Linked DNA regions of Ovis aries. The protein of the gene in region 1 interacts with the protein of each later gene in a pairwise test. Links are inferred from orthologs where the notes say so. Each region holds a gene or a part of one and is shown in the gene's direction. Other genes may lie near its edges.

The links.
Region 2: the proteins of GOLGA2 (region 1) and SLU7 interact in binary tests that used the Homo sapiens proteins (3 or more experiments, as listed by UniProt). The two-hybrid records come from large-scale screens. The link is inferred for Ovis aries from reciprocal best matches to the Homo sapiens genes GOLGA2 and SLU7.
Region 3: the proteins of GOLGA2 (region 1) and MORF4L1 interact in binary tests that used the Homo sapiens proteins (3 or more experiments, as listed by UniProt). The two-hybrid records come from large-scale screens. The link is inferred for Ovis aries from reciprocal best matches to the Homo sapiens genes GOLGA2 and MORF4L1.
Region 4: the proteins of GOLGA2 (region 1) and GCC1 interact in binary tests that used the Homo sapiens proteins (3 or more experiments, as listed by UniProt). The two-hybrid records come from large-scale screens. The link is inferred for Ovis aries from reciprocal best matches to the Homo sapiens genes GOLGA2 and GCC1.
Region 5: the proteins of GOLGA2 (region 1) and DCTN4 interact in binary tests that used the Homo sapiens proteins (3 or more experiments, as listed by UniProt). The two-hybrid records come from large-scale screens. The link is inferred for Ovis aries from reciprocal best matches to the Homo sapiens genes GOLGA2 and DCTN4.
Region 6: the proteins of GOLGA2 (region 1) and ZNF414 interact in binary tests that used the Homo sapiens proteins (3 or more experiments, as listed by UniProt). The two-hybrid records come from large-scale screens. The link is inferred for Ovis aries from reciprocal best matches to the Homo sapiens genes GOLGA2 and ZNF414.
Region 7: the proteins of GOLGA2 (region 1) and STK26 interact in binary tests that used the Homo sapiens proteins (3 or more experiments, as listed by UniProt). The link is inferred for Ovis aries from reciprocal best matches to the Homo sapiens genes GOLGA2 and STK26.

Annotation. Positions count from the first base shown.
Region 1 is NC_056056.1:8,025,803-8,029,302, forward strand, and holds the end of GOLGA2 (golgin subfamily A member 2), read left to right. Parts: intron 1-203; coding exon 204-449; intron 450-531; coding exon 532-607; intron 608-859; coding exon 860-948; intron 949-1,229; coding exon 1,230-1,448; intron 1,449-1,540; coding exon 1,541-1,643; intron 1,644-1,735; coding exon 1,736-1,842; intron 1,843-1,915; coding exon 1,916-2,069; intron 2,070-2,157; coding exon 2,158-2,372; 3' UTR 2,373-3,126; downstream 3,127-3,500. UniProt on the Homo sapiens protein: Peripheral membrane component of the cis-Golgi stack that acts as a membrane skeleton that maintains the structure of the Golgi apparatus, and as a vesicle thether that facilitates vesicle fusion to the Golgi membrane.
Region 2 is NC_056058.1:69,558,318-69,562,502, reverse strand, and holds the start of SLU7 (pre-mRNA-splicing factor SLU7), read left to right. Parts: upstream 1-1,385; 5' UTR 1,386-1,457; intron 1,458-3,617; 5' UTR 3,618-3,631; coding exon 3,632-3,801; intron 3,802-4,185. UniProt on the Homo sapiens protein: Required for pre-mRNA splicing as component of the spliceosome. Participates in the second catalytic step of pre-mRNA splicing, when the free hydroxyl group of exon I attacks the 3'-splice site to generate spliced mRNA and the excised lariat intron.
Region 3 is NC_056071.1:22,937,796-22,941,761, forward strand, and holds the start of MORF4L1 (mortality factor 4-like protein 1), read left to right. Parts: upstream 1-1,166; 5' UTR 1,167-1,234; coding exon 1,235-1,274; intron 1,275-3,966. UniProt on the Homo sapiens protein: Component of the NuA4 histone acetyltransferase (HAT) complex which is involved in transcriptional activation of select genes principally by acetylation of nucleosomal histones H4 and H2A.
Region 4 is NC_056057.1:93,527,761-93,531,855, reverse strand, and holds the start of GCC1 (GRIP and coiled-coil domain-containing protein 1), read left to right. Parts: upstream 1-1,295; 5' UTR 1,296-1,717; coding exon 1,718-2,749; intron 2,750-3,830; coding exon 3,831-4,095. UniProt on the Homo sapiens protein: Probably involved in maintaining Golgi structure.
Region 5 is NC_056058.1:59,874,098-59,878,227, reverse strand, and holds the start of DCTN4 (dynactin subunit 4), read left to right. Parts: upstream 1-1,330; 5' UTR 1,331-1,347; coding exon 1,348-1,482; intron 1,483-4,130. UniProt on the Homo sapiens protein: Part of the dynactin complex that activates the molecular motor dynein for ultra-processive transport along microtubules.
Region 6 is NC_056058.1:14,856,404-14,860,504, reverse strand, and holds the start of ZNF414 (zinc finger protein 414), read left to right. Parts: upstream 1-1,301; 5' UTR 1,302-1,425; coding exon 1,426-1,428; exon of another isoform or gene 1,429-2,125; coding exon 2,126-2,438; intron 2,439-2,768; coding exon 2,769-2,876; intron 2,877-2,990; coding exon 2,991-3,096; intron 3,097-3,632; coding exon 3,633-3,979; intron 3,980-4,061; coding exon 4,062-4,101. UniProt on the Homo sapiens protein: May be involved in transcriptional regulation.
Region 7 is NC_056080.1:102,807,049-102,810,548, reverse strand, and holds part of STK26 (serine/threonine-protein kinase 26), read left to right. Parts: intron 1-2,254; coding exon 2,255-2,485; intron 2,486-3,500. UniProt on the Homo sapiens protein: Serine/threonine-protein kinase that acts as a mediator of cell growth. Modulates apoptosis. In association with STK24 negatively regulates Golgi reorientation in polarized cell migration upon RHO activation.

The DNA of each region.
Region 1 (3,500 bases):
TGAAGGCGGCACGGGGCTCTGGATGAGGAAGCCGGGACCCGGGCAACCGGCAAAGCCCTGTGCAGTGTCCGTCTCCGGCTGAGGGGTCTGTGCCCGGCCTCCCCGGCCCAGGGGCTCAGACTGTGGAAGCAAGCCACCCCCTGCCCTCAGCCCCCAGGGTCATCACCCCGCCCCTGCCCTCACCCCCCGGGGTCTGCCCGCAGGTGGAGGTGAAGCGCCAGGAGGTTCAAGATCTGCAGCAGCAGCGGGACGAGTACCTGAACCACCTGCAGCATTACGTGGCCGCCTGCCAGCTGCATGTGGCCGCCTACCAGCAGCTGGCCTTGGAGAAGGAGGCGCTGCACAAGCAGATGCTACTGCAGACCCAGCTCATGGACCGGCTGCAGCACGAGGAAGTCCAGGGCAAGGTGGCGATGGAGGTGGCCCGCCAGGAGTTACAGGAGACCCAGGTGAGGGCGTCGGGACGCTGGGCCCCTGAGAGGGAAGGCCTGCGGCCTGTGTCCCTCCTCACTCTCTTCCCTGGCCCCTTAGGAGCGCCTGGAAGCTGCCAACCAGCAGAACCAGCAGCTTCAGGCCCAGCTGACCATCATGGCTGTGCCTGGGGAAGGTCAGTGGGGAGGCCTGGAGGGAGGACACTGGCCTGAGGAGCAGGGGGACGTCTGGCAGCATGGCACCGAGTTGTTTTTCAGCCCTGAGTTAGATGAGGCCATGGGGACGGTGGGTCCTCTTCCCCCGGCCACTGGCTAGCCCAGGGCTGCAGAGTGAGGTTGGGGGCAGAGCTGGGCTCTGAGCTTTCTTCCAGGCCTGCTCCGCCTCCGTGGTTGGGGGGGTCTGAAGACCCCCTGTCTGTCCCCAACAGGAGACGGACTGGACAGTGAGGAGCAGGATGAGGAGGCTCCAAGGCCTAAGCTGAGTGTGCCGGAGGAGCTGGAGAGCCGAGAGGCCCTGGTGAGCGGACCTCCCCACTCCTCGCCTGTCTCACTCCCCCCACCGCCACCCTACCCCATCCCCAGCGGTTCCTCTCAGACACTCTTCTTTGCGGTTTCTTCCCTCCATCTCTGGTCGTCCCCCAACCTCCCCTGGGAGCCGTGGTCAGCCAGCGTGTCATCCTCCAACCACAGGCGTGCGCCCCGAGACCCTGAGAAGAGGCATGTCTCTCTGCCTGCCCGCCCACCCCTCTCTGGTCCTGTGTGTCTGCCACAAAAGCACGTGTGCCCTCTCCCCCGCAGGTGGAATTTTTCCACTCGGCCTTGGCCAGTGCTGAGGATGAGCAGGCCCGGCTACGCGGGCAGTTGAAGGAGCAGAAGCTACGCTGCCAGCGCCTCTGTAACCTGGCAGCCGCAGCCCAGGATGGGGTGGAAAAGGAGGCCCCCGCCCCCAGGACTGGGGGAGACAGTGTGCCCGCGGAGGCGCACCAGGCCCTCCAAGTGGCCATGGACAAGCTGCAGGTGCGTGAGCTGCCCCCCAGTGGGGTCCAGGAAGGGTGGGGGCCCCTGTGGGCAGGTCGCTGCTGAGCCCTGACCCTGCCCTCTGGCGTTAGGGCCGCTTTACGGAGCTCATGCAGGAGAAAGTAGATCTGAAGGAGCGGGTGGAGGAGCTGGAGCATCGCTGTATCCAGCTATCTGGAGAGACGGACACTATTGGTGAGTGGGGAGGCTCGGCCCGGGGCGGGGGGCTGGATGCGGGCAGCACCACATTGCCTCTGAGCCACGTCTGCCCTCCCCACCTCCTGCAGGAGAATATATCGCCCTCTATCAGAGTCAGAGGGCCGTACTGAAAGCCCGCCATCAGGAGAAGGAAGAGTACATTAGCCGGCTGGCTCAGGACAAGGAGGAGATGAAGGTAGGGGTCCTTCTGCCCGTCTCTACAGGCCGGGGTGGGGTGCGGCGGGGCTGCTGAGTACTTCTCCCTCCAGGTGAAGCTGTTGGAGCTCCAGGAACTGGTTTTATGCCTGGTGGGTGAACGAAATGAATGGTATGGCAAATTCCTGGCTGCCCAGAAACCTGCTGGTGAGCCCACTACAGCACCCCACACCTGCCAGGAGCCCAGCACTGCTGACAATGAGGGTGGTGAGTAGTAGCACCCTTGGGGTACTGGAGGGCAGGCAGGGGTGAGCTGGCACACCACTCTAAGCTCTGCTGCCCTCTCTCCCCAAAGGCCTCCAGGAGGTGAGCCTCGCCGACAACGTGGAGCCCCCCCAGGGGGCCCTGCAGGGCCAGACCACCCCTGAAAACCCCACCGCGCAGCAGATCATGCAGCTGCTGCGTGAGATCCAGAACCCCCAGGAGCACCCAGGCTTGGGTAGCAACGCTTGCATCCCCTTCTTCTACCGAGCTGACGACAATGACGAAGTGAAGATCATGGTGATCTAGTGGCCTGACACCGGCAGGCAGAGACCACAGACATGGGGCCGGGGGCTTTGCCCCCACCTGTCCCTGCCTCCTTGTCCCTCTTTCCTCCCCCCCCCCCATCCCTAGACTAGCACGCTGAAACCCTTGAAGAAAGGGGTATAAGCCCCCCGTCAAATGAGGGGAAACAAACAGGTGCAGGCCCCTTGCCATCTTGGCCAGGGCTGTGTCTTGATATCTGGACTGCTACTAGTTCCAGAGAGAAACAAAGAGCCAGAGGCTCAATTAAAGGCAGTTTATTTAAGAGGCGGGCCTTCTTGGGGAGCAGGGGCTCCCTGGTGGCTTCCTCACCCCTACCAAGCAGTCCTTTCAGAGGGGCTCATGCATCCTCTATTCAGAGGCACTTTGGGGCCAAGTGCCCCCTCCTTGCCCAGCTTGACAACTGGGCAGCACTCTCACAGGCCTTGGGACAGTTGGGCAAATTGAGGCCAAGCAAGAACATAAGCTGGTGGCGGAGTGGGCTCCCTCCCCAGTGTTTATACTGTAACTCTGTAACATTTTGTATATTCTGGAGGTAGGGCAGCGCCCCTGTATCTCAGCAGAGGTTGGAGCTGGTGAATGGGGAGGAACTTCTATTAAATATTTGGGGCTGGGGAAACTTATTTATTAATAGTATAGGGTAGAGAGAGAAGGTGGAGGCGGGGACGGGTTTGTGCCCGGGTGATTCGACTCCTATTTCGTTTCACTTTTTATTTCTGAATAAATGAATTTAGCCATACTGCTTGTCCTGGTGTGTGCCTTTTTTCTGTCTCTGGGTCCTGGGGTCTGTGCCATGAGCACTGAACAGGGAGCAGGTCCTGCCAACAGAGGGCAGGCTTCTAGTTGTGCCAATCTCCAGGGTGTCTGGGCACATCCAGTGGGGCTGTTAGAGATCTTTTGAGGCCTGTCACCCACTGCTGCCTGGTGAAGCCTGGGGGACCCCAGGGGAACTCCAAAGGGGCTCTCAGGGGCCATCCTGCCTTAATAGCGGAGTGACTCGAAGTTGGATCTGATCTCAGGGAGGGAAAGCAGAGTGCCGCAGCACCAAGTGCTGACTTCCAGCTCAAGTGTCCATTCCATCACCCTGTCCCTCCACAGTGTCTGGCTGGGCCG
Region 2 (4,185 bases), on another chromosome or scaffold:
GAACACTGGAGTGGGTTGCCATTTCCTTCTCCAATGCATGAAAGTGAAAACTGAAAGTGAAGTCACTCATTCGTGTCCGACTCTTAGTGACCCCATGGACTGCAGCCTACCAGGCTCCTCCATCCATGGGATTTTCCAGGCAAGAGTACTGGAGTGGGGTGCCATTGCCTTCTCCAGACTGTTACTGGTGATATCCAAATTGCTAAACTACCCTCACTTTACAACCGCACCAAGATCCTAATTGTTCCCAGTTTATCAAACAGCCATCCCATCCAGAACTGATCCCTGCTTCTCAGATCCTCCTTAGAATCCTCCAGGGGGAATCTGAACCTTACAAACAGTTCTTCCCTCTTGTCCAGCACATTCCATAATTCCACTGGGAGATGTATTCCCTGACTTGTGCCTGGTAGTTTTAACTAAACAGACCTTAACACTTTCAAACAAATTTCAGGAATTGTATTAAGGAGATAAAAATTAAGTGTGAGTGATTCATAGACTACTCACTTTCAGACTATTTTCTGACAATTTCCATTCCTTCAACTTTTGCCCTGTAAAATCAAAATTAATATTTACATTGCTATGCTCTATGCACTAAAAATTCTTAATAAGAGTATGATGAGATTCTCTTAGAGGCAAAGATGTCATTTTGATATCTGAAAGAAACACATATTGTTTTGAAAAATAAAAGGTTACCAGAACAGATAGGATTTAAAGGGGGGGGGCGGGGGAACTGTACTCCAAAAGTATTACTTTCCAGTATTTTATTACATATTATTCTTTAAAGAAAGGTTGAGATATCTATGACATTGTTTTTCCACAATGTAAATCGTTTTTTTCCTAATGGTGAAATACAGTATCAACATCAGGGGCGAGGTGTCACAATTGCTGAATTGCCCCATGTCTTCAAAGCACCTAGTACACCCTTCATAGCGGCTTTCTAAAACTGTAAATTACTTAGATAATTCAGTCTTTCTCACTCTATATGATGTAAATTCGAGGAGAGGAAGACAATTTTGTGTTTACTTTGTCCCCAGCGTGTTACACAACCTGGCTACTAATTAATAGTGATTTTAACTGTTTTAACTTCACGCACTTCGTAGCGCTCCAGCGATGCTTACGCTATTGTCTGTTCTCCGTATGAAATTTGTTTTGTTTTGCTTTACGTCGTAATATTCGTCGAGTCTAAAAGACATGAAAACTACGGAGCAGAAAAACAGCTGCTCAAACCTAACCCATTCTACTGACCTACCGTAGAGCTGTAGGAACAGCTCGAGATCTCGCGAGGCCAGTTTCGCTTGGGCCCCGCCCCCCCCGCCCCTGAGGCCCAAGTGCGCATGTGTGGGTCGCCCGGAAAGTGCCACAGTGGCTGCCGGGAGAGGGAGGAAGTCCGGAAGTAAACATTGGCGATCGTCTTCATTCCTGTCGAACTGTGCTACGGTCCGCAGCGGTGGGACCGGGTAAGGAAATCTTGTGAGAACTTGGAATGAGGAGGAGGGTGAAGGTGGAAAACTCGGGGAACAGGGCCAGAGGCTCCTAATTTTTAGGAATATCCTCACGGGATTGATGAACGCAAGGTTGAGAAGGGAACGGGGACCGAGAAACAAGGAAGCAGCTGTCCTAGGCCTCAGAAGTGGTACTTGTGCCCAGTCAGACCAGGACTGTGTCTTCAGTGGTTTTTAAAGTAAGAGTTATAAGGTGCTATTGGACCTGAACTGTGCTTGTAATTCTTAAGCACTTGAAATGTTGGCCAATCTGAATACATGTAAAATCCGTATCAGATTTTAAAGAATTGGTTTATTTTTTCCTATGTTGAAATGAAAATGTGTTGATAATTAGACAAAATATTGCAAAAAGTAATTTTATCTGTTTCTTTTTGCTTTTTTAATATGTGTGTGGAATATTTAAAATGACATATAGGGCTGGTGGTTTCTCTTGGACAGCGTTTCATTTGAGGGTTTTCAGTTTGGGTAGTGGGACAAGATATGACCAAATCTGTGTTTGAAAAAATAACACTGCAGTGTGGAGAACTGATTGGCAGGAATCAGAAGAGACTAGTAGGGAAGAGTAATACACTCAGATTATTGATAGAAGGAGATGAATTCTAGATAGCATATTGAAAAGCAGAGACATTACTTTGCCAACAAAGGTCCGTCTAGTCAAGGCTATGGTTTTTCCTGTAGTCATGTATTAATGTGAGAGTTGGACTGTGAAGAAAGCTGAGCACCGAAGAATTGATGCTTTTGAAGTGTGGTGTTGGAGAAGACTCTTGAGAGTCCCTTGGACTGCAAGGAGATCCAGCCAGTCCATTCTGAAGGAGATCAGCCCTGGGATTTCTTTGAAGGGAATGATGCTGAAGCTGAAACTCCAGTACTTTGGCCACCTCATGCGAAGAGTTGACTTATTGGAAAAGACTCTGATGCTGGGGGCAGGAGGAGAAGGGGACGACAGAGGATGAGATGGCTGGATGGCATCACTGACTTGATGGACGTGAGTCTGAGTGAACTCAGGGAGTTGGTGATGGACAGGGAGGCCTGGTGTGCTGCGATTCATGGGGTTGCAAAGAGTTGGACATGACTGAGCAACTGAACTGAACTGAGATGAATTCGAGTGATATTCAAAAAGTGAAAATAACAGTACTTCGTGATGAAATAGGTATGGGAATTAGATGGAACACTTATGAAAAGGAATGGATGGTGGTATCTTTCATCAGGAGAGGGAACAGTGGAAGATTAGATTTCATAGAGAAGATTATGAATTTGAATTAAGACTAATTGAGTTCAGGTTTCTTTGAGACATCTAAGTGGAGGTACTTTGAAGTAAGCAATTGGACTGTATTTATCTGAAGCTCAGAAAAAAGGTCTGAAGTAGAGAAATAAATTGGAGAGCCAACAGTTGTATATCGTGGCTATTGAAACCTTGGAAATAGATGAACTTGTCTTCTGGTGGAGTTTAGAGTGATGAAGAATTGAGCCTTGTGGAATCCAAAATTCAGTAACCGGGCAGAAATGGAGGAACTTATGAAGGATACAGGAGGAGCAGTGAAAGGGGTACAAAAAAACCCAGGGAAATATGGTGTCACATCAGCCAAAGGATAAGAATATATCAAAAGGGGGAGGAACAGAACTGAAAAATGTCCAGAGGACTTAGCACATTGCTAACTTAGAGGTATCTTTGGAGCAGGGAGGGAAATGATTGAGAAGGGCAGCAGATAATGTGGAAATAGAGATAATGAATATAGGTGATCTTAAAGCGTCCAGCTTTTAAGAGGAACAGAGATAATACCCTGTGTACTCAAGAAGGATTAGTGTGGTAGAAAAGTTTGAGACACATATGTAGAGAGGAAATCAGGAATATATACATGAAAGAATGAGTCTCATGAAATTTTAAATGCATGTGCATGTCTCTCTCCACTTAACCAATTAGAGTTGAAAACACAACTGCAGCAGCATATAAAGATGTTAGTGGAGGAGAAAGAGACCTTTCCCTTACAGATGCTATGAAAGAAAAAGAACATATGAAACATTCTATATAACCCACAGTATGTGTTATTAGGGTGTACTTTTGATAGTTTCTCAGGCCTAGTTTATTCTAATAGTTATCTCTTCCTTTTCATGCAGGAGGTTAGATAACCATGTCAGCTGCAGCTGTGGATGCAGCTAATGCAGCCCCCTTGTCGGGATCCAAAGAAATGAGTTTGGAGGAACCAAAGAAGATGACTAGAGAGGACTGGAGAAAGAAGAAGGAGCTAGAAGAACAGCGAAAATTGGGTAATGCCCCTGCAGAAGTTGATGAAGAAGGAAAGTAAGTACTTAATTTTTTTTGCAAGATCTGTTCATTCAGAATTCAAATTCATGTCTACTTAGTTTACCTATTTCTCATCCTTTACTTTGACAGGAAACCATCTTTACCGTTTCCATCATTTTTGTTTTCATTTATTGTATCAAACTCACATGTATAATGTTTAATAAATAATAACAAAGGACTTGTAATGATAGTCCTTTTTAGTTCTTCCCACTCCCTGTCCTACTGTACACAAGTGACTACAGCTGACCTTGAACAACACAGATTTGAACTGTGTTGGTCCACTTATGCTCTTATTTTTCTCAGTAAGTACATGCAGTGCCACACAATCTGCCACTGGTTGAATCTTCAGACTCCAAACCATAGGTACAGAGGCCCAGCTGT
Region 3 (3,966 bases), on another chromosome or scaffold:
CGCCAGTTCACCATTCAGCCTGTCTGTGCAATTCTCACAGGAAACCCATGGGAAGGTGGCCTTATTCTCCCCATTTTGCAGCTAAGCACACGACAGACTTTTTGAACAGGTGAACCACGGGAGAAAATTCCTTTAAATCCTGTGTATATTCAATAGTTAGTGCTCAGTCTCTGTCTTTGGGACCCCATGGTCTGGAGCCCATCAGGCTCCTCTGTCCGTGGAATTCTCCAGGCAAGAATACTGGGGTGGGTTGCTATTTCCTTCTCCAGGGGATCTTCCCGACTCAGGGATCGAACCTGCGCCTTCCGCGTCTCCTGCACTGCAGGCGGACTCGTGTATATTCAGTAACAGCAACTAACTGTGCCCTAACAACAACTAGGTGACAAAAAATTGCACAAGTAGGGCAGGTGCAGAACCCCGACGTCGGTACGGTGTAGGTGTAGTGTTATTCACGGTCGCCTCTTTCGGCGGCAAGCCGAGCTCCAGCATCTCTAAAAGCCAGAGGTCGACCCCTCAGCCTGCCCCGTGTCGCCCGCTTCGTGCCATTTCCGCAGGTCTCGGGTGGGGAAGGGGAGGCCCAGGACCCAGCTTGCTGAACGAGGAAACATCCAGACGCAGACTCCATGAACTACCCCGTTTCTAGCCAAGATTGCTGGCCCTGAAGCTTCCCTGTGCAGAAACTGCTCAACATGCTACTGAAAAGGGGTTTCAGAGGCCGCCATTTCTCTCTGGCCATTCCCAAGCCCATATCGTTGCGGCCCTATATTGCCCATGGACCTCCGCAACTCAGTCTTTCCCCTTCTTTTGTGCAGGTTAGGCAAAGCCTTGCTGTCCCTCACTCCGACAACAACTTAAAATCAAATCTAGGAAGTAAAAACGCCGCCGCCCCCGGGGATGGGGGTGGGGCAGGGGGTTAGGGGTGGGGGAGGGGAGGAGGCCACCGCCCCGCCCCCGCCCCTCGGCTCCTCCAACGCCTCGGAACTACCAATCCCAGCGTGCCCCGGGGCGGCGCGGGCGCAGGGGCGCGTGCGCGGCGGGCAGCCGTTGGCTGGAGCAGCAGTTGGGCCGGTCGCGGTGCTGGGCGGTCTGCGGGCGCTGGCAAATCGGGCCCAGGATGTAGAGTTGGCGGTGCCTGACGGCGCGTCTGACGCGGAGCTGGGTGGGGTAGAGAGTAGGGGGCGGTAGTCAGGGGTGGTGGGAGAAGGAGGAGGCGGCGGCGGTGAATCTTTTATAAATGGCGCCGAAGCAGGACCCGAAGCCTAAATTCCAGGAGGGTGAGTTTGATCCCCTGGGGACAAAGCATCTAACGGCCCGGAGAGGGAGGCGGTCTCGGGACGGTTGAGATTTGGGGACTGGGGATGGCGAGGGCCGTGTCCCCAGGCGGCGGCGGGCAGGGCTTTGTGCGGAGAAAGCGCATTGCGGCGAGGTTTTTCTGTGCTTCGTGAGGATAAAAACACTTTGGGAGGCGAAAGCGTTAGGCAGGCGTTAGAAGGCGAGAGGGAGCCGTTGCCTCGTGGCACAGCCTTGGTGCTGTGTTTGTTGTCGTTGAGAGGAAGAGGGCGCGGAGAAAGTAGCCTATTGTAGGGAGGCGGCGGGCGCGCCATGGCGGCCGTTAGGGGAAGTGATGTGGCGTGGGGGAGGGGAGGCGGCGGCGGCCGTTTCGGGCTCCCGTCCGCGTGGGCGTCCGAGGGTTGGCGCTCCGCGGCGACCTCCAGCCGCGAGCGGATAGCTCGCGGTGGAGCCGCGGAGCCGCGGCTGGAGGGGGTTGGCTTCGCTTCTCGGGGCGGGAGAACTGCGTTGTAAGATGGCCGCTGCAAGATGGCGGGCCCATCATGGCCGCCGGCGCCTGGATCCACGGCTCGCGGCCGCAGACGCCGCTTTAGGGCAGAGGAGCGCCCCCTTCTTCCCCCGCCGCAGATCGGGAACCGGTTTTTCGGCGCTGGCCCCGGGGATGTGGGTGGGGACAGGAGGGAAAAGCGCGAGCGTTCACTCGGCTTTGTGTCGCCCGAAGGCATCCCTTTGCTCTCGGAAAAGCGGAGTGTTGGTGTCCTATGGGAACGTGAACGCGCTCTGGCTGCGCGGTGGCTTGTAAAGCAGTAATGAAAAACTGCTTTAATGCGGTGTTACTACCTCATTTATGTGAAGTCCCGTTGTCTTGATGTCAGCCTTTTAAGTACGGCAGTGGTTTGGTTAATTGCAATAATTGATTAACAGTGATTTGAAAGTTGAGTTTTTATTGTCTCTGATCAACGTGAAGGCTGACTGTAGAGAGCCTGATTTCCAGAGGAAGACAGCTCTGTAATTTTCACTATTACTGCATCTGTTAATTTATATAGTGGAGGTTTAACAGTAAACTGAAGTGGATATAAAATTATGTAAGGCAAGCAAGAACACTTTAAAATGCTCATTCACATTATTGTGGTTGTACGTGTTAGATACCACGGATGTCGAGACGTCTGCAAAAAATTGTAGGGATGTTCAAACTTTGATATGCGTTAGAATTACTTTGAGTCATACACACAAAATCCAAGCGTATTGTAACAATGGAATATTTAAAAGATTGCCGCGGGTGTTTTCCCTGTAACTGGCTCTTAATACCTGCTTTCTCTCACTCTGAGAAGCTACGTGACGACTACTGTGAATTGCTTGCATTGCTTTTAAAAAATCAGATGTTTTAGAGCAAGGATTCTTGATCTAGGGTGTTTATAATTCAGAACACCCCTTGTACTTGGACAGGAAAGAGTTTTTTTTCGATTTTCTAACTAAAATTAAATCTACAGTTATGACTGTAGATTTCCTCCCCCACAGAAAAGCAAAACAAGACCCTCCCACAGTAGTAGTAGCTGTAATGTTTTCACATCCCAGCATTAAAGTTGCAGAAGATACATTCAGATGTATGCTTTTCGTTGTTTCAGAATTGTGGTAGTTTCCTGGATCAGCAGCTAAATGTTTATTGTATCAATTAAGGAGCTCATATAATACCATAACACATGATGTTTTAAGTGTTTTTATAACTGTCTCAATATAGTTCGTTTCTTTTGTAGTACGGTTTTACATGTTTGTAGAAACATTCTGAGAAAAGGCCCAAAGACTTAACCGGACTGAAGGGTCCACTGCACAAAAAAAATTTATCCTCACTGTAGGACATCAAAGGTAAACGACACAGACTTGGAACAGTTAAGGATGGCTTTCTGGAGGAAGTGCTTTAGTTCTAAACTGGAAAGGATGGTAGAGTGAGGGAGGATCCATATGCTGCTGTAGCAGTGAATTGGAGAAGAGGGCGGCAGAGGATGAGTTGGTTAGATAGCATCACAGAGGTAAGTGGACATGAATTTGCGCAAACTCTGGGAGATAGTGAGATAGTGAAGAACAGGGAAGCCTGACGGTGCTGCAGTCCATGGGGTCGCAAAGAGTCAGACACGACCGAGCGACTGAACAGCAAAAGGAGCCAATGTAGCGCTATGGTTTTGAAAGCTACCTGAGTCTTTGCACTTTGCAGACGTGTTTTCTACTCCTGTGTCAAAGTTGGGTTGTATAACCATCTTTTAAGAAATTATTATTTTGGGGATTCCCAGGTGACCCTAGTGATAGAGAATCCATCTGCCAGTGGAGGAGAAGGGGAGAGCTGAGGGTTCTCTGCGTGGGTAGAGATGCGCCCCTGGAGAAGGAAAGGCTCCACTCCAGTGTGTTTGTGGAAAATCTCCATGGACAGAGGAGCCTGGTGGGTTACAGTCCATGGGATTGCAAAGAGTTGGACAAGACTGAGTTATTTAGAAGAGAATATCTTGTAAGGAGAAAGGAATATTCTGTAGGAACTAGCAGAATTATATTAAAACACTGCAGAAGAATTGAGCTAATGTGACGGTAAAAATACGAATGATGGGAAAGTTTTTTTCCGATTCTCTTTTAAACTTGAAAATTTCTGTTGTTAAATAATGGTGCAGCATATGTTACAAGCATTTTTTC
Region 4 (4,095 bases), on another chromosome or scaffold:
TTGCATACCCTAAGCTACTGCCTTGAAATGATTCTCAATGCTTCCCAGGTGAGACAAACTCTCTGATGCTCCAGAGTCCTTGCAAGTTTTCCCTCTGCCTAGAATGTTGTTTTGGAGAGGGCAATGGCACATCACTCTGGTACTCTTGCCTGGAAAATCCCATGGACGGAGGAGCCTGGTGGGCTGCAGTCCATGGGGTCGCCAAGAGTCAGACACGACTGAACGACTTCACTTTCACTTTTCACTTTCATGCACTGGAGAAGGAAATGGCAGCCCACTCCAGTGTTCTTGCCTGGAGAATCCCAGAGACGGGGGAGCCTGGTGGGCTGCCGTCTATGGGTCGCACAGAGTCGGACACGACTGAAGTGACTTAGCAGCAGTTAGCAGAATGTTGTTTCCCTCATTTCTAGTTAGATGGACAATCAGTACTTACTCTTCAAATTCCAACTCATTTCCCCTGAAAGCCTGCGCTGTTTCCCTTAGACAGGGCTCCCTCCTCTTAACTTCAGTATCACTTTGAATATACTTGTGTTTGCATGGCTGCTGCTTCTCTAGATGTGGGCTCCTTGAGGGTAGGAGCTTGTCCTTTCCTGGTGATCACCTGGCATAGCACTTGGTATGTTGAGAATCAGACCGATCTACATGGGATTCTAAACCCAAGGCTATGTGACCTTGGTGTATTACTTAACTTCTCTGTGCCTCACGTTGCACTATCTGTAAAATAGTGCTAATGATGCTCAGCAGATTAATTATAAAGACTAAATAGCAAAACTCTTGTGAAGCTTCTGAAATATAGGTGGCACTTAGAATGGACATGATGCCTATATATATTTATTTATATATATTTGTTAAATGAACCCAGCAGAACTCAGGAAAGGTGTAATAATAATTATACACCGTCTAGGTGTCAAATACTGTCCTAGAAAGGGTTGTCATCTTTGTGGTCTAAATGGTAGTCTTAACTGTTGCTCTTTAAGGACAACGGTACTGAGCACCCAAACAGTGGGGCCTGTCATTTACCCGAGTCTTTGGTAAGGGCTCATTACAATGTCGCCCCCGTCCCTCGCTGATCTTAGCGCTAGAGCAAGATCAGGCGCCTTCAGCAAACCAACATGACTCCGGTGTACTCGACTCTGCTTGCTCTGCTGTGGTGGAGAGGAACCAGCACTCGGCCGGAGAGTGACCAGTTCTCAGCCCTGCTGGGTTCTCTTCCCACCAGCCGGCTGAGGTAGCCCCGCCCACCTCGCGCCCACTGGGGGCGGGGCTCAATACGTCGCGCTCTCGTCACTTCCAGCAGACCCGGAAGCGCCGTTGTCCCAGCCGCTAGAGTTAGGAAGTCGGGATGGAGCTACGCTCATCTTAAACCTTTGGCCTGTAGTGCGCCGGGGCCGGGCCGGTGCTGCTGTGGCTGGGTGAGCGGGGAGCGCGGAGCGGCTTCTGGGGCAGTGCGGGCGAGCCCTGGCAGTGTGCCCTTCTTGTGCCAGCGTCGCCCCGCCTCTAGGATAGGACCCGCCCCCGCCCTCCTGTCTGGGACCTGGCAAGCGTTTCTGCCCTGCTGCCCCGCCGCCCTGCATCCGGTCTCAAACAGCTGCTTGGAGCGGATGTGCGGCAGAGGGGGACAGCTATCTCCCCGTCGCATACAACCCCTGCTAGCATCTTCGTGACGCTCTCCCAGCCTGTCCAAACCCTGGCCTGGAGCAACCCGTCCTGAACCCTCATGGAGAAGTTTGGAATGAATTTCGGGGGCGGCCCAAGCAAGAAGGACCTGCTGGAGACCATTGAGACTCAGAAGAAGCAGCTCCTCCAGTACCAAACTCGTCTCAAGGATGTAGTCCTTGCCTATAAAAGTCTGCTGAAGGAGAAAGAGGCGCTGGAGGCCAGCATTAAGGTACTGTCTGTATCCCACGAGGCGGATGTAGGCCTCGCAGGTGTGCAGCCTCAAGGCCTCACCTTTCCTGACTCTGTGGATGACCGATGCTCCACTCACAGCGAGGATAGCACAGGGACCGCCGCCAGCCTGGATACTGCGGCCAGTATCACCAGCACCAAGGGTGAGTTTGGGGTAGAAGATGACAGACTGGCCCGTGGACCACCTCCTCCAAAGTTGGAAGAGGCCAGCGGGTCAGAGAGTGGCGTTAGCAGTAGTAGTGGGGACGGACCATCTGGGGGTGGGGAGGTGGACAAACGACTGCACCAGCTGAAGACTCAGTTGGCTACTTTGACCAGCTCTTTGGCTACAGTCACCCAGGAGAAGTCCCGCATGGAAGCTTCTTACCTGGCGGACAAAAAGAAGATGAAGCAGGACTTAGAGGATGCCAGTAAGAAAGCAGAGGAGGAGAGGGGCCGGCTGGAGGGAGAACTGAAGGGGCTGCAGGAACAGATAGCAGAAACCAAAGCCCGGCTTATCACGCAGCAACATGATCGGGCCCAAGAGCAGAGCGACCATGCCTTGATGCTGCGTGAGCTCCAGAAACTGCTGCAGGAGGAGAGGGCCCAGCGCCAGGACTTGGAGCTTCGGTTGGAAGAGACTCGGGAAGCTCTGGCCGGGCGGGCCTATGCAGCCGGTCAGATGGAAGGGTTTGAACTGCAGACCAAGCAACTGACCCGTGAGGTGGAAGAGCTGAAAGGTGAGCTTCAGGCTCTTCGAGATGAGAAGAATCAGCCTGACCCCCGGCTGAAGGAGCTTCAAGAAGAGGCTGCCTGCCTCAAGAGCCATTTCCAGGCTCAGTTGCAGCAGGAAATGAGAAAGGTAATTATCTTCATCTCTTTCAAACATGAGTCATTTAACTTAAAGTGGCTTCTCAGGTGGCTCAGTGGTAAAGAATCCATCTGCCAATGGAAGAGATTCTGGAGATATGGGTTTGATCCCTGGGTCAGGAAGATCCCCTGGAGTAGGAAGTTGCAACCCACTCCAGTATTCTTGCCTGGAAAACCACATAGACAGAGGAGCCTGGTAGGCTACAGTCCATAAGGAAGTAAAGAGTCAGACACGAGTCAGCACACACCACTTGTGACACATGGGGAAATATTAGTGTTTTTTTTTTTTTTCTCCTTTGACAGAACTAAGTGCCTGCACTGTTGGTTTTTTATGCGCTTCGAAAAGTTTCACTTGTGGGTCCTGAGAAATCCTTTTCTGTGTGGTGTTGACAGTATCCACAGAGTGCTTCCAACAGGATGTGGAGTTTCTGAGTGTAGTCTGAAGTTGGAGCTAGACAGATCTGAGTGTCAGGGCATGGCATCTTCCCAGCTGTGCTCTGTGAAGCAGTGTAGCAGCGGCTGTGCAGTGGAAGGTGGAGTGGGGGCTTATGGCAGTATGCCTATCTATGGGTAGCAGTGGATGCCTGTAGGTAGGGTGGCTGGAGGGGACAAAGGGAATTTTCATAGAAGAAATCACCTCTTCTATTGCTTGCAGTCAATATTTGCCATGTCTGGAAAGATAGGCTATTTTCCAGTGCCTCCTTTCAGCGTGGGGAGAGATCCAAGCCAACTCTGAACTTCCAGGAATGTTGGAAGAGGAAAAGAATGTAATATGGTGAACAGCACACTTACACGTGAGCTTGGTGTATGGGTGGAGAGAGTAGAAACACTAAAGCAGAACAGTAGCAGATCTCCAAAGACTCTTAATATCATTGGGTATAATGTGTGTCTGAGAGCAAGTTACAGGAGCTTGGGTTAGCTCCCAAACTCAGAAAGCTTCCCAGTTCCCATTTTTTTCCAGGCCACCTGCATCCCATAACCTTTTTGTCCTCCCTCTCTTGCTTTCTTAAAGTTGACCCTCCGACCCTGTGGCTTTTCTGGATGCATCTCCACCTGTTCCCTTGTTTTTTCAGACAGCCCTCGCTGAGGATCAGCTGCGCCAGCAGTCTCAGTTGGAAGAGCAGAGGGTGGCGGCCCTGGAGAATCAAATATCCCAGGTGTCGGAATTGCTGGGCACCTACGAGAAAGCCAAGCAGAAGGACCAGCTGGCCATCCAGAAGCTGAAGGAGCGCATTCTGCAGCTGGACCTGGAGAACAAAACCCTGGCTCTAGCGGCCTCCAGCCGGTCCCCCCTGGACAGCCATGGAGAGGAGTCCAGTCTGGATGTCAACGTCCTGA
Region 5 (4,130 bases), on another chromosome or scaffold:
TAGTGCCTGGGCCTTGCTGCTGCTCAGGGCCCATGCTGGTCACTACGCTATGCATTAGGGATTCTGCTACTGGTGACTACTAGTCACAGAGCAGAGGAATCTTAGTCTGCCTCAGTTATGGCCAGGCTTTCCAGGGAGAAGAGAAGAGCACTGGGATCTCAATGTCCTACATTGTGAGATAAAAATAATGATAGCACCTGCCTTCTGGAGTTCTGGTGAAAATTAAATGAGACTACGTAGTTTTGACACAGTGTCCTGCATTCAGTAAGTGCTCAATAAACGTTAACTATTATTACTATTCAGTTCTGTTTCTTCTCAGTCACCAACTCTAATATCAGACAGATAGTAATACAACACTGGGCTTCCCTTGTGGCTTAGCTGGTAAAGAATCCACCTGCAATGCAGGAGATCTGGGTTCAATCCCTGGATTGGGAAGATCCCCTGGAGAAGGAAAAGGCTACCCATTCCAGTATTCTGGCCTGGAGAATTTCATGGGTATAGTCCATCGGGTTGCAAAGAGGTGGACACTACTGAGCGACTTGCACTTTCAATTCTAGTACAAAGAGAAAAGCAGTGAACTGAAGCAGGTAGCATGGGCTCCAGTCTCTGCCAGCCTAGCTGTAAGTGGTCATTTTACATGTCTAAGCCTTAATGCATGCACTAGAAAAATGTAAATAACACCTAGCAACACTATTCATTGATTTCATTGCTTCATTAACATCCACAATATAGACTTGGTTCTCATGCTAAATATGGAAAGCCAGGATATGAGATACAGCTCTGCGTGCAAGAGCTCGATGTAAGAAACTACAAAAGAGTATCTGTGAAAGTTTCCTATAGGTCAATAGTAAGATTGTCGGAAGTAAGTGCTGCTGTGGACTCTTAAGTTTCTAGTTTCCAAGAAACTTTGTCTCAGAAACCCTCCATCTAACTTCTGGAGATTTGTTTGGAAGGTGAGAGCGGGAGAGGCAGTTTTAAATAAATGAGCAACCTTCCTGTTAGAAATGAAGGAAAGAACAGTACTGAGTCTGTCTGGATTTGATCTGCGACTCCACATCTAGCAAAACAACGGTCTGAGCTCCGTCCGGGCGGTTGACACTCACAAAAACGCTGGAGGGGGACGAGCTTGGGGAACTGAGATTGGGAGAACAGGCCCCAACTTGCCGGGAGAAAGCTGGTATCTCTGGTGAGCATGCGCATTTTGACTTTCTTCTTGCGCAAAGCCCCACTTGCTCGGAATGCTTACGTCAAAGTCTACGTTGAAAGACGTAAGGAAGGAAGCTAAGGAAACGCCGGCCCTCGGGTCACGTGATGCGACGGGAGCGTCGTTGACTCCTCCCCCACAAGATGGCGTCCTTGCTGCAATCGGAGCGGGTTCTCTATCTAGTCCAGGGAGAAAAGAAGGTTCGGGCTCCGCTGTCGCAGCTTTACTTCTGCCGCTATTGTAGCGATCTGCGGTCGCTGGAATGTGTGTCTCACGAGGTAACGCAGTCGTCCCATGAAGAGTTTGTGTGTTGGGGGATGGGGGAGGCGTTCCCCCTAGTCACCGCGACCAGCGGGGAAGTTCCGTCAGTTGGAGGCGGGTAGTCATTTTCCTAGCATGCTGATTGGCTTTGCCTTCCGTCACTCGGTTTTGTCTGTGATTTAATTTGCTTATAATTTGTCACTTGGAAAGGAGGAGCGGCCTTGGGTGGGGCTGAACGGCCTTTCTGTTCTATAGCGTCTTCTGATTGGACAAACTAGACTTTGGGGACCCTGGCCATCTACTAGGGGGTTTGGTAATTGGGCGGGTTGTGGGGGGAAAAGATGTCGGGGTGCTTAGTTGAGGCCCCTTGAGGGGCGAGATACGGTCTTCCCAGGATTGATTGAGGTAGTGGGAAAGTCCGCGGTCGTTCTCATCCAAGCGCCTCCTATCCTGGAAGTTCTGCCCCTCCTTGGGCAGAAACCCGGCCTTCTGACTGCCTTGTTCTGTTTCCCAGCCCAGCCCAAGGCCTGCAGCAAAGAAGAGGGTTGGGATGGGGTGAGCTGAGAGAAAAGCGCTTAGAATCGAATCTGTTGTTTAAGAAGCTCAAAGTATTATATTTATGGCGCTTCTCCTGGGGGTACATTTCTGTCCTTCACTGATACAAGTGGGCGTTGGAGGTGAGATTGCTCAGAATGTAAAAGACTCCACCCTGGGGGAAAAAAATCATCAACGAATAACAAAGCCCCCAAACGTCTGCAGCACTTGACGCGTGTTCATTCAGTAAGATTTGGGGCTTAAAAGACGAGTTAAGACATAAATCCTGCTCTTGAGTTACTTGCAGGCTCCTGAAGGAAAAGCTGATTAGTATTATAATACATAGTTTATGCTTATTCAGTACTTTCTGTATGCCATGTGCTTTACATAATCTCCTTTAATCATTCTACCTTTCTTTTAAAAAAACCACTTTACCGTTAAGGGGTTTCCTGGTGGCTCAGTCCGTAAAGAATCTGCCTGCAATGCAGGAGACGCTAGTTCGATACCCGGATGGGGAAGATCCCCTGGCAGAGGGTATGACAACCGACTTAAGTATTCTTACCTGGAGAATCCCACCGACAGAGGAGCCTGGTGGGTTACAGCCCAGGGGTCGCAAAGGGTCGGACAGGACTGAAGTGGCTGATGACTCTTGTATTTCACAGTTAAAGAAACAGGCATAATGTTTGCAGTATGTCACACAGCCAAAAATTTGAGGAAGGGAGGAAGGACCAGGATTTGAAACCGAGCAGCCTGATTCAGTGGACTTCAGTCAGGATCCCTGGACTGTTAAAAATGCTTATGAGAATATGTCCCATACTATAAGCCATTTTACACATTATTAATTACTATTTTATTGAGAATATTTTTCATACTATTCAGAATAGTCAGAGAAAGCAGTTAAATAACAAGGGGGGAAAAGAAAAATCAATGCTGTATTATATACAGCATTTGTTTTTCTCTATTAGCACTTTGTACACTTATCCCTTTGGCAGGCCCTTTCTCTCTATGATGCCTCCCTGTCCCAGCTTCACCTCCAGAATTTACTGATTAGATTCTTATTTGGTGATCAGTAGGGAGCTAGTTTTCATAATCTGTAAGGACACCTTCAGCTAGGACATTCAGTCTGTGACTGTATCTTTTATGGACTGGTGTGCACCTGTGAAAGAGAAGCCATTAGGGTTTGGGGAAGGATGATGCCAATGAGGGTTGAAGCAGTCCAGAAAGTTCTAATGGGGAGCCTGGAATTGGAGCCGCACTTGAAGGGAGGAGCGTAATTCAGAAAGGAACAAAAGGGAATGAATTACATTTTACCTTTTATGATGAGTGCATTATGCCTTTTATGATGCACTGAGTGCAAATATAAGTTAACAGTACTGTATTTTGTGTTCCTGGTGACTATTTGAGCAGCGACTTTATCTTTCAAAGGTGGTTCTGTTTATAAGCAGATGATAAAAACAGAAACCAGTTTCTGTCATAGTATTTATGTTCAGGTGAATCTGTCTTTCCATCTGCAGATGCCCAGAGTTCTAGAATTATCAAATAGGATCTACCTACATTCAAGGAAATAATTATTCAGTCCTTAAAAAAATACAGTGAATTTAATTTTTATACTGTGTTTTCAAGCTAAATACAATAAGACTATCTTGTCAACCTAGTAGTTTAATTTGCCATTTAAAAATCTCCAGTTGGTTGGCTATAGCTGACTTTGTAACTGTTAATTTATGCTTTTCTTCAGCGAACATGTAATACATCAGTAAGGAGAGAACTTTTAAAGTCTCTCAACAATTAAAGTGTTATTGCAGTCCCATAAAGCTGGGAGCAGGCAATGGCAACCCACTCCAGTATTCTTGCCTGGCAAATCCCATGGAGGGAGGAGCCTGGTAGGCTGCAGTCCATGGGGTTGCTAGGAGTTGGATACGACTGAGCGACTTCACTTTTCCTTTTCACTTTCATGCATTGGAGAAGGAAATGGCAACCCACTCCAGTGTTCTTGCCTGGAGAATCCCAGGGAGAGGGTGTGGGTGGGGCCTGGTGGGCTGCCGTCTCTGGGGTCGCAGAGAGTCGGTCACGACAAGTGACTTAGCAGCAGCAAAGCTAGACTAGGTAAAAGGATTTTTGATCACAGCTTCAT
Region 6 (4,101 bases), on another chromosome or scaffold:
TCCCTCCCCAACTCAGGCCACTTGAACCAGCTATTCATTCTTCCCACAGCGATGTGGCCTCCTGAACTTCCACTGAATAACTGCCTCCGGACAATCACGCAACAGCTCAGAAGTCATCTCACAGAGAAACTTCCCTGGCCTGTGACCATCACATCCTTCTGGGCTTTTTTCCCCCCTTTATTGTGCTCAGCCACTCAGTCACCACTGACTCTTTGCAACCCCATGGACTGTAGCATGTTAGGCTCCCCTGTCCATGGGATTCTCCCCAGCAAGAATACTGGAGTGGGTTGCCATTTCCTCCTCCAGGGGATCTTCCTGGCCCAGGGATCGAACCAGCTTCTCTTACATCTCCAGCATTGACAGGTGGGTTCTTTACCACTAGCGCCACCTGGGAAGCCCTTTTTCCTTTATGGCACTTAATATAACCATAAGATCATTTCCCGCATTTGTTGATTCATTGTCTGTTTCCCCATTTTAAAACGCGAGTGCCCCCTGAGAGCAGGACTGTTGGCCTGTCCTGTTCATCTCTGGATCCCCAGACCCTAGCACAAACTAGGCACTCAAGGAACGTAAGTTGGATAGGTGACTCATTTCACGCCAGGGCTCTCCACCTATCCTGAAAACACACACCACTCCATCTTCAGGCTACACACGTTCCGGGTGTCCTGAGGACGGAAAGTGAACTTGTTTCCCGCCCTTGGCTATCTCAACAGATCCATTCCAATTTCCGGACTAAGTGCATTGAAAATGTTGACGTCCGCGGCAATTTCCCTCCAAAGAAGCAGCCCTCTCAACATGACCTTCTCAAAACTGAGAACTGCTGTTTATCCCCCTTCGAGATATGGTGACGGGACGGGAGCAAACGAAGATGCTCATTTTGCACAGGAGAACACAAAGGCCCGGGAAATTTTTAATCCTAGATCTCTGTACACATATTCTGGGCATTGCTGCTGCTAAGTCGCTTCAGTAGTGTCCGACTCTGTGCGTCCCCATAGACAGCAGCCTACCAGGCTCTGCCGTCCCTGGGATTCTCCAGGCAAGAACACTCGAGTGGGTTGCCATTTCCTTCTCCAATGCATGAAGGTGAAAAGTCAAAGTGAAGTCGCTCAGTCGTGTCCGACTCTTCCGGACCCCGTGGACTGAAGCCCACCAGGCTCCTCCGTCCATGGGATTTTCCAGGCAAGAGTACTGGAGTTGGGTGCCATTGCCCTCTCCCTCTTGGCATAGCAGTTCCAGAGAATCCTGGATCTCAGGCCCCGCCTCCTCGCTGAGCACTGTGCGCGGACCCCGCCCCCGTTCTCGCGAGAGCTAGGAGCCGAAAAATGGCGCCGACGTGAGCGCGAGCCTGCGGCCACCGAAGGAGTCGCCGCAGCCTTAGTTGGAGCCGCCGGAGCTGCAGGAACAAGAGGCTGAACCAGGCTGAGGATGGTGAGCGCGGCACCGGGGATGCGGACGCGGCGAACAAGCAGGGACTGGCGGGGAGCGGCCTTCTAAGCCTCCAGCCGACCCCGCCTCCACATCCGGGCAGTCGCCTGCCGCTGTCACTCAGGGAGCACCCTACCCCCTACTTCCGGTCCTGGCTTCGACTGGGCCACGCCTACAGAGCTCAGGCACCGCCCCCTGATCTTTATATGTTTGGGGTCCCAGCACCTCCCGTTCGCCTGCACAGCTCGAACCCCTCTGGTAGATATATCTCGGTCCTCAAACACCCACTTGGCCACTTCTGGCCCTCCAGAATCTTCTTAGCCGCGTCCTGTTCAGAGCCCCGCCTTTGCGACGCCCACTCCCTCAGGGCCACGCCCCTGCCCTGTAGTGGGGGGCCCCCCAGCTTTCCAAGTTAGGATCAGAGCATGCTTCTTATCATATAGGGGCTTCCTGGAAAGGTACCCCCTTCTACATTTGGCACACCTCCCAACTCTCTTCCGAAGGACGGGGACACTGGAGGCAGACGTTCAACCCTCTCACCCACTGCCTCTCCTTAGTATGGGAGCCAACTGGGTGACGTCTCTGGGGCATTCGCTGTTTTAGAAACACCGAATGGTTATGGCGAGGTGAAGGTGTTCCCCTAGCTGGCGCAGGCAGACCCTGGGCCCAGGGGGTTCTCCCCACCTCTTCCTTCCACCAGGATGAGGAACCCTCGGGGCCCAGCCCGGACATGCCGGCTACTGCAGAGCCCAGCTCCAGTGAGACCGACAAGGGGGTGTCCCCAGTTGTGGCTGCTATAGCCAAGTCCTCTTCCATGGAGGAGGAGCCGGGCCCTGACCGGGCACCCACACCCCCAGTGTGGGAACGTGGAGGGCCCACCGGAGGGACCCAGCAGGGTGCCTCCCCAGCCCCAGACAGTGGCCATCCAGGACCTGGACACAGCCTTGGCCCAACCAGCACTGTCTCCAAGACCAGTGAGGACCTGCGACCTCCCAGACGACGCCCACCACCAGGTGACACGTGATGGGACCTTCTGGGGGATCACAGGCCTGGAACAACAGAAGTGCAGATTACTGAGTATCTCCAGACTGGGGGCCCACCTAGAAGGAATAACCACTTAATGAGCCCCATTGCGTGGCAGTCTGTGGCTCCAACGAGGAGCCAGGGAAACTCAGCCGCTACTTCCTGGTGGGGGAGGCAGAGGGTAAAGGCCCCAGTAAGAAACCATAGTTAGTAGTTGCAGGGTAGTTGCAGCCCCATAAATGCCCCTCTGAGGCAGCGCCCTGGACGGCGTGGATGAGGAAGGTATAGTGACCCTCCCCCTGCTTCTGTGCGTCCTTCAGGGAAGCAGATACCATGCTCCAGCCCAGGCTGCTGCCTCAGTTTCCCCAGCGTTCGAGACCTGGCACAGCATCTGCGTACCCACTGCCCACCCACACAGTCCCTGGAAGGTAGGGCCAGGGTAGATGGTGGGGAGGCAGGTTAGGGTGGGAGGCGGGCCGAGCCTCTGGGCCAGTCCTGGCCACCCCACTCCACTCCTCTGTCATTCATCCCTGCGCCGCCAGGCAAGCTCTTCCGCTGTTCCGCCCTGAGCTGCACCGAGACCTTCCCCAACATGCAGGAACTGGTGGCCCACGGCAAGCTGCACTACAAACCCAACCGCTACTTCAAGTGAGACCTGGTCCACCGTGACCTCTGTTGGTCAGGCAGCTCCCCCTGACCACCGATTTTGACAGCTACTACCCGGGGTCCTGGCTTTTCTCCCTTCCTTTTCCGAGGGGGTTGAGTCAGGAAGAGGGCGTGATCTAGGGCCAGCTTTGCCCTTACCTGCCCAGAAGAGACTGGTCTCTAGAGCCAATCCCAGGGACCCCGAGGGCGGGGCTTGGGAGGGAGTATGTGTGTAAAGGGGAACAGAGATGGCATGACTCGGCCCAGTCCTCTGCCTCCCAAGAGGAAAACTGATCACCTAGGTCAAAATTGAGACTTCCTTCCTCATCTTCCCAGGGTTCGGACCTGGGGAAGTCCGGAAGGGTCGCGACCACTGTGGGCGGCGCTTAGGGCAAACTCCTCCCCCCGCAGATGCGGGAGTCAGGTTATTTGGCCCCAGGGTCCTTGACCACCCTGGAGCGGCGGCTCTCCAGGTTACGCGGATAGGCCCCTCCCTGGGTCCCCTGGGAGACCCAGCCCAGCCCTGTGCTGCCCCCCAGGTGTGAGAACTGCCTGCTGCGCTTCCGCACGCACCGCTCTCTCTTCAAGCATCTGCATGTTTGCGCCGAGCATGCGCAAAGCCCAGCCCCGCCGCCGCCACCCCCGGCACTGGACAGGGAGTCGCCGGCATCCGAGCGCCCCCCGGAATCTGATCCTGCGCCGGCGCCTGGCCTGCCGTACCCGCTGCTCGAGCCGTTCACGACCCCTGCCCCTGCCCCCACTGGGCCCTTTCTGCCCTACCTGAACCCCGCGCCTTTTGGCCTAAGTCCCCCACGCCTGCGCCCCTTTCTGGCCGCCGCTCCTGGGCCCCCTGCCTCCAGCGCCGCCGTCTGGAAAAAGAGCCAAGGTGAGTGTGGGCTATCAGGGCCGCCTTCAGGGTGGGCTGGGCTCACTCTGACTTCTGACCTTGACCCGCCCGTTGACCGCAGGTGCAGGCGGCAGCCCGCGAAGACCCCAGGGCAGCTCTGA
Region 7 (3,500 bases), on another chromosome or scaffold:
TTTATTATAGAAAGCGAGAACAGCTGTGTTCTCCCTCGGGGTGGTTGTTTCAGTCAAATCCTTTTAAAACATGAATTAGGAAGATTAGGATTTAATCTTTGTTTCTTCCAAGAACAAAAAAAATCTCATTATACAGTTAATATACTCCTGGTCCAGAATGTGTTATCAGAAAGTCCGTATTGTCTACTTTTTAATCAATGGTATATTTATAACTTTTAGAGTATTTTGTAGTTACATCAGGAAACCTGAAAGATTTGCTCTTTTTATTTTTCCAAATTCACTGAATTTAGGGAACTATAAGGTGATGAACCTATCACTGAGCTGTTTGGTGAGTATTTTTGCCACAAGCTACTAGAAAGAAAGGAACCATTACCAAAAGTAGGAAGAATAATTTGTGGGTTAGCTATTATGTGATAGTAATCACAATGTCTTGGTAAGAAATTAAGCACCAAGTTAATCAATAGTGATGGTACTCAAGTTTTGTAAAAGGTATTTTATAACAAAATGTTGGCATTAAAGAAACGTTTGCAATTTAAAGAAGTCTAAACTATTTTTAAAGCCCATATGGGCAGCTGAAGATGTATTTGTCCCATGTGAGTACTGGAGGTGGGTGGAGATAACAAGTAGCTTGCCATACCAAAGAGACTATGGCATACATGGAAAATTGTCTTTTAAAAATGGAAAAAGTCCAATCAAGGAGAATGGGTAAGCTTGTAAATTAAGCAGGTCATGTGTAAACTGTCTTTTAGGCAGGTCGAAAAGAGAAAAATTGGTGAAATTCTTTAAAATCAGTCATAAGTTTTTAAGTTACTCAAAAGCGGGCAGTTTACTGTGTCTGTTTGGTGATGATGGTACAATGAACTTGAGAGAAAATTAATGTTAATGATCTATTTGTCTAATAAAAAAGATATTAGAGGAACATGCTAATAACTATAATTTGCCTCCTGAAATTGATGACCAGGTTAAATTGTAATAAATGAACAGATAATCTAGGTGCAATTAACAAATTAAATATAGACAAGTTAGAACTATATAACATTCTTCTATATTTTGAAGGAATTCAAAGTAAAGTTTTAGTTGTAGACTAATAAGGCAGTTAAGTGTAAATTAGATTGACATGTACACACTACTATTATATTTAAAATAAAATGCCCTTCCATGAAAAAGTAAAATTAATTAATAACATGACTTTTGGTTTGGAAATAAGGTTTGGAAATCCTTTTTTCTACTTGATCAGCAGTATATATTCAGCAATATGAATTTAAGTAAGGTTAAGGGTTATCCTATGGGAGTCAAATTTGAAATAAAAATTGTGCACTATTAAATAAAGGATATTTCTGAGTCAGGGAAGGACAGTGAAGTTATAAAATCTAAGTCTTGCCAATACATTTGTTAACCTGAAAAGTTATGCTTGATTCAGATTTTTCTGTAGAAAAATATTGACTTATTCTGGAATTTTATTTTCAGCCATTGATGAGAGCATTACATACAAATGAAAGTTGAAAGTGTTAGATGCTCAGTCATATAGCCTACTCTGTATGACCCCATGGACTATAGCCCACCAGGCTTCTCTGTCCCTGGGATGCTGCAGGCAAGAATACTGAAGTAGGTAGCCATTCCATTCTCCAGGGGATCTTCCCGAACCAGGAATTAAACCCAGGTCTCCTGCATGGCAGGCAGATTCTTTACCATCTGAGCCACACATACAGATAGGATCCCAAATAAAGAAGAAGGAAAAAAAGACTTGTAGATTCTTGGGTCTTTTGTGTTGTGTGTTGTTTACATGGTGGTTTTCAAGTACAGGTGCTGTGATTGGGTTGTCCAAGTCGGAGAGTTTAAAGGTAATATTTTGCTGGTGGAATGTAAGAATTTTAATGACGCCCCTACCTACAGTAGGTTAGGTATTCTCTCACTATCACTACCATTGTACTAATGTGTAAATTGTATATAGTCAACTGCTTTATTCTAAAAAGAGTCTGGCCCTTTGGCATGCACCAGAGACAACATTTGCTGTATGAGATCGTTTCTGATAGCAGGATCAGCTAAGCCCATTTAATGTGGGTGATCCAGTAGAATATGGACTACCCATTTGGGTTACAGTTGTTCTAACAAAGCACGTGTGGAGAGTCAAGGGAATTTGTATGCTTTCTTTTAGGTAAATGTGATATTGTCTTACATGATTTATTTTCCTTCATTTAAAACTTTGATACAAAATGTTTGTGTTCTTCCCTTTCTTCTCTCCCTGCCCCCTCAGAATAATATAGCCGATCCAGAAGAGCTCTTCACGAAATTAGAACGCATTGGAAAAGGCTCCTTTGGAGAAGTTTTCAAAGGAATTGATAACCGTAGCCAGCAAGTGGTTGCTATTAAAATCATAGACCTCGAGGAAGCCGAAGATGAAATTGAAGACATTCAGCAAGAAATAACGGTTTTGAGTCAGTGTGACAGCTCATACGTAACGAAATACTATGGATCATATTTAAAGGTAATGTGTGCACTGGATCATGAGGTACTTTCATTATGAGTATTTCTTTCTTTTTTTAATTCTGTTTTTTGAAAGGCAGTGTCTTAAATTAGGATTTGGCAGCCTTCGGCCTTCAGGCAGAATCTAGCTCCATTTGTAGGGCCAAAATAGATTTAGATTTAGCAGCTGTGTCCTGAATGCATCCAGTACTCAGCTGTACCATTTTTCCACACCTGAACTTTTGGGTTGATGGAGGAGCAGAAAGGCAGCTGAGCCTTGACACATAACCTTTGTCAGGAAAGAGCTTTCTTCTTGGACTTTCACACATTACTCTCAATGGCCCAGTCTATCTCAACCTCAGAATTGATGGCATATGTATTGTAAGTATGTCACTTGTTCCATTGAGTTATGGTGGTTATTTACACAACTCTCCCTCCGTCTAGATTGTGAGCTTCTGGATATCAGGGAGTTTAGTTCAACCTGTCATGTTTTCACATCACATAGCACAGGGCATGGCACATCTTCAGCACACGATAAATACTTGTTGAAATGTAATTAAATAGAATAATATCTAACCCCACCACCAAAAAAGTTGGATTTTTAGTTTCCAGGGTTATAGAATTAACAGACACCTAAAATTCCAGCAGATGGAGGTATTTCTGCATCACAGAAAACTCTTTGGTGAGTTCTTGGGTTCCAGAGTTAGAGTCAAGATTTGTATCTATTGAAATATAAACAATAAATAATTAGAAAAATCTAGCTTAGAGTTTAAATTATTTTAAAATTTAAAAATATATCCCCATATTGATATTTTTCAGAGGAAGGCAGTATTAGTTAGATCTTTGATTTTCAGGGCTTATAAGAGGGAAGGGTTTTTTTGTTTATTTGCTTTTCTATCTCTAGGCCAGAAGGGTGTGTTTATAACCCATTAGGCTCTTGGCCTGCACAAAAGTTAATGCTGTCTTTTTATCCTTTTATGTTCTGCTGGGATAAACTGTATTAGTTAATACTCATATAGATATTCATTATCAATTTC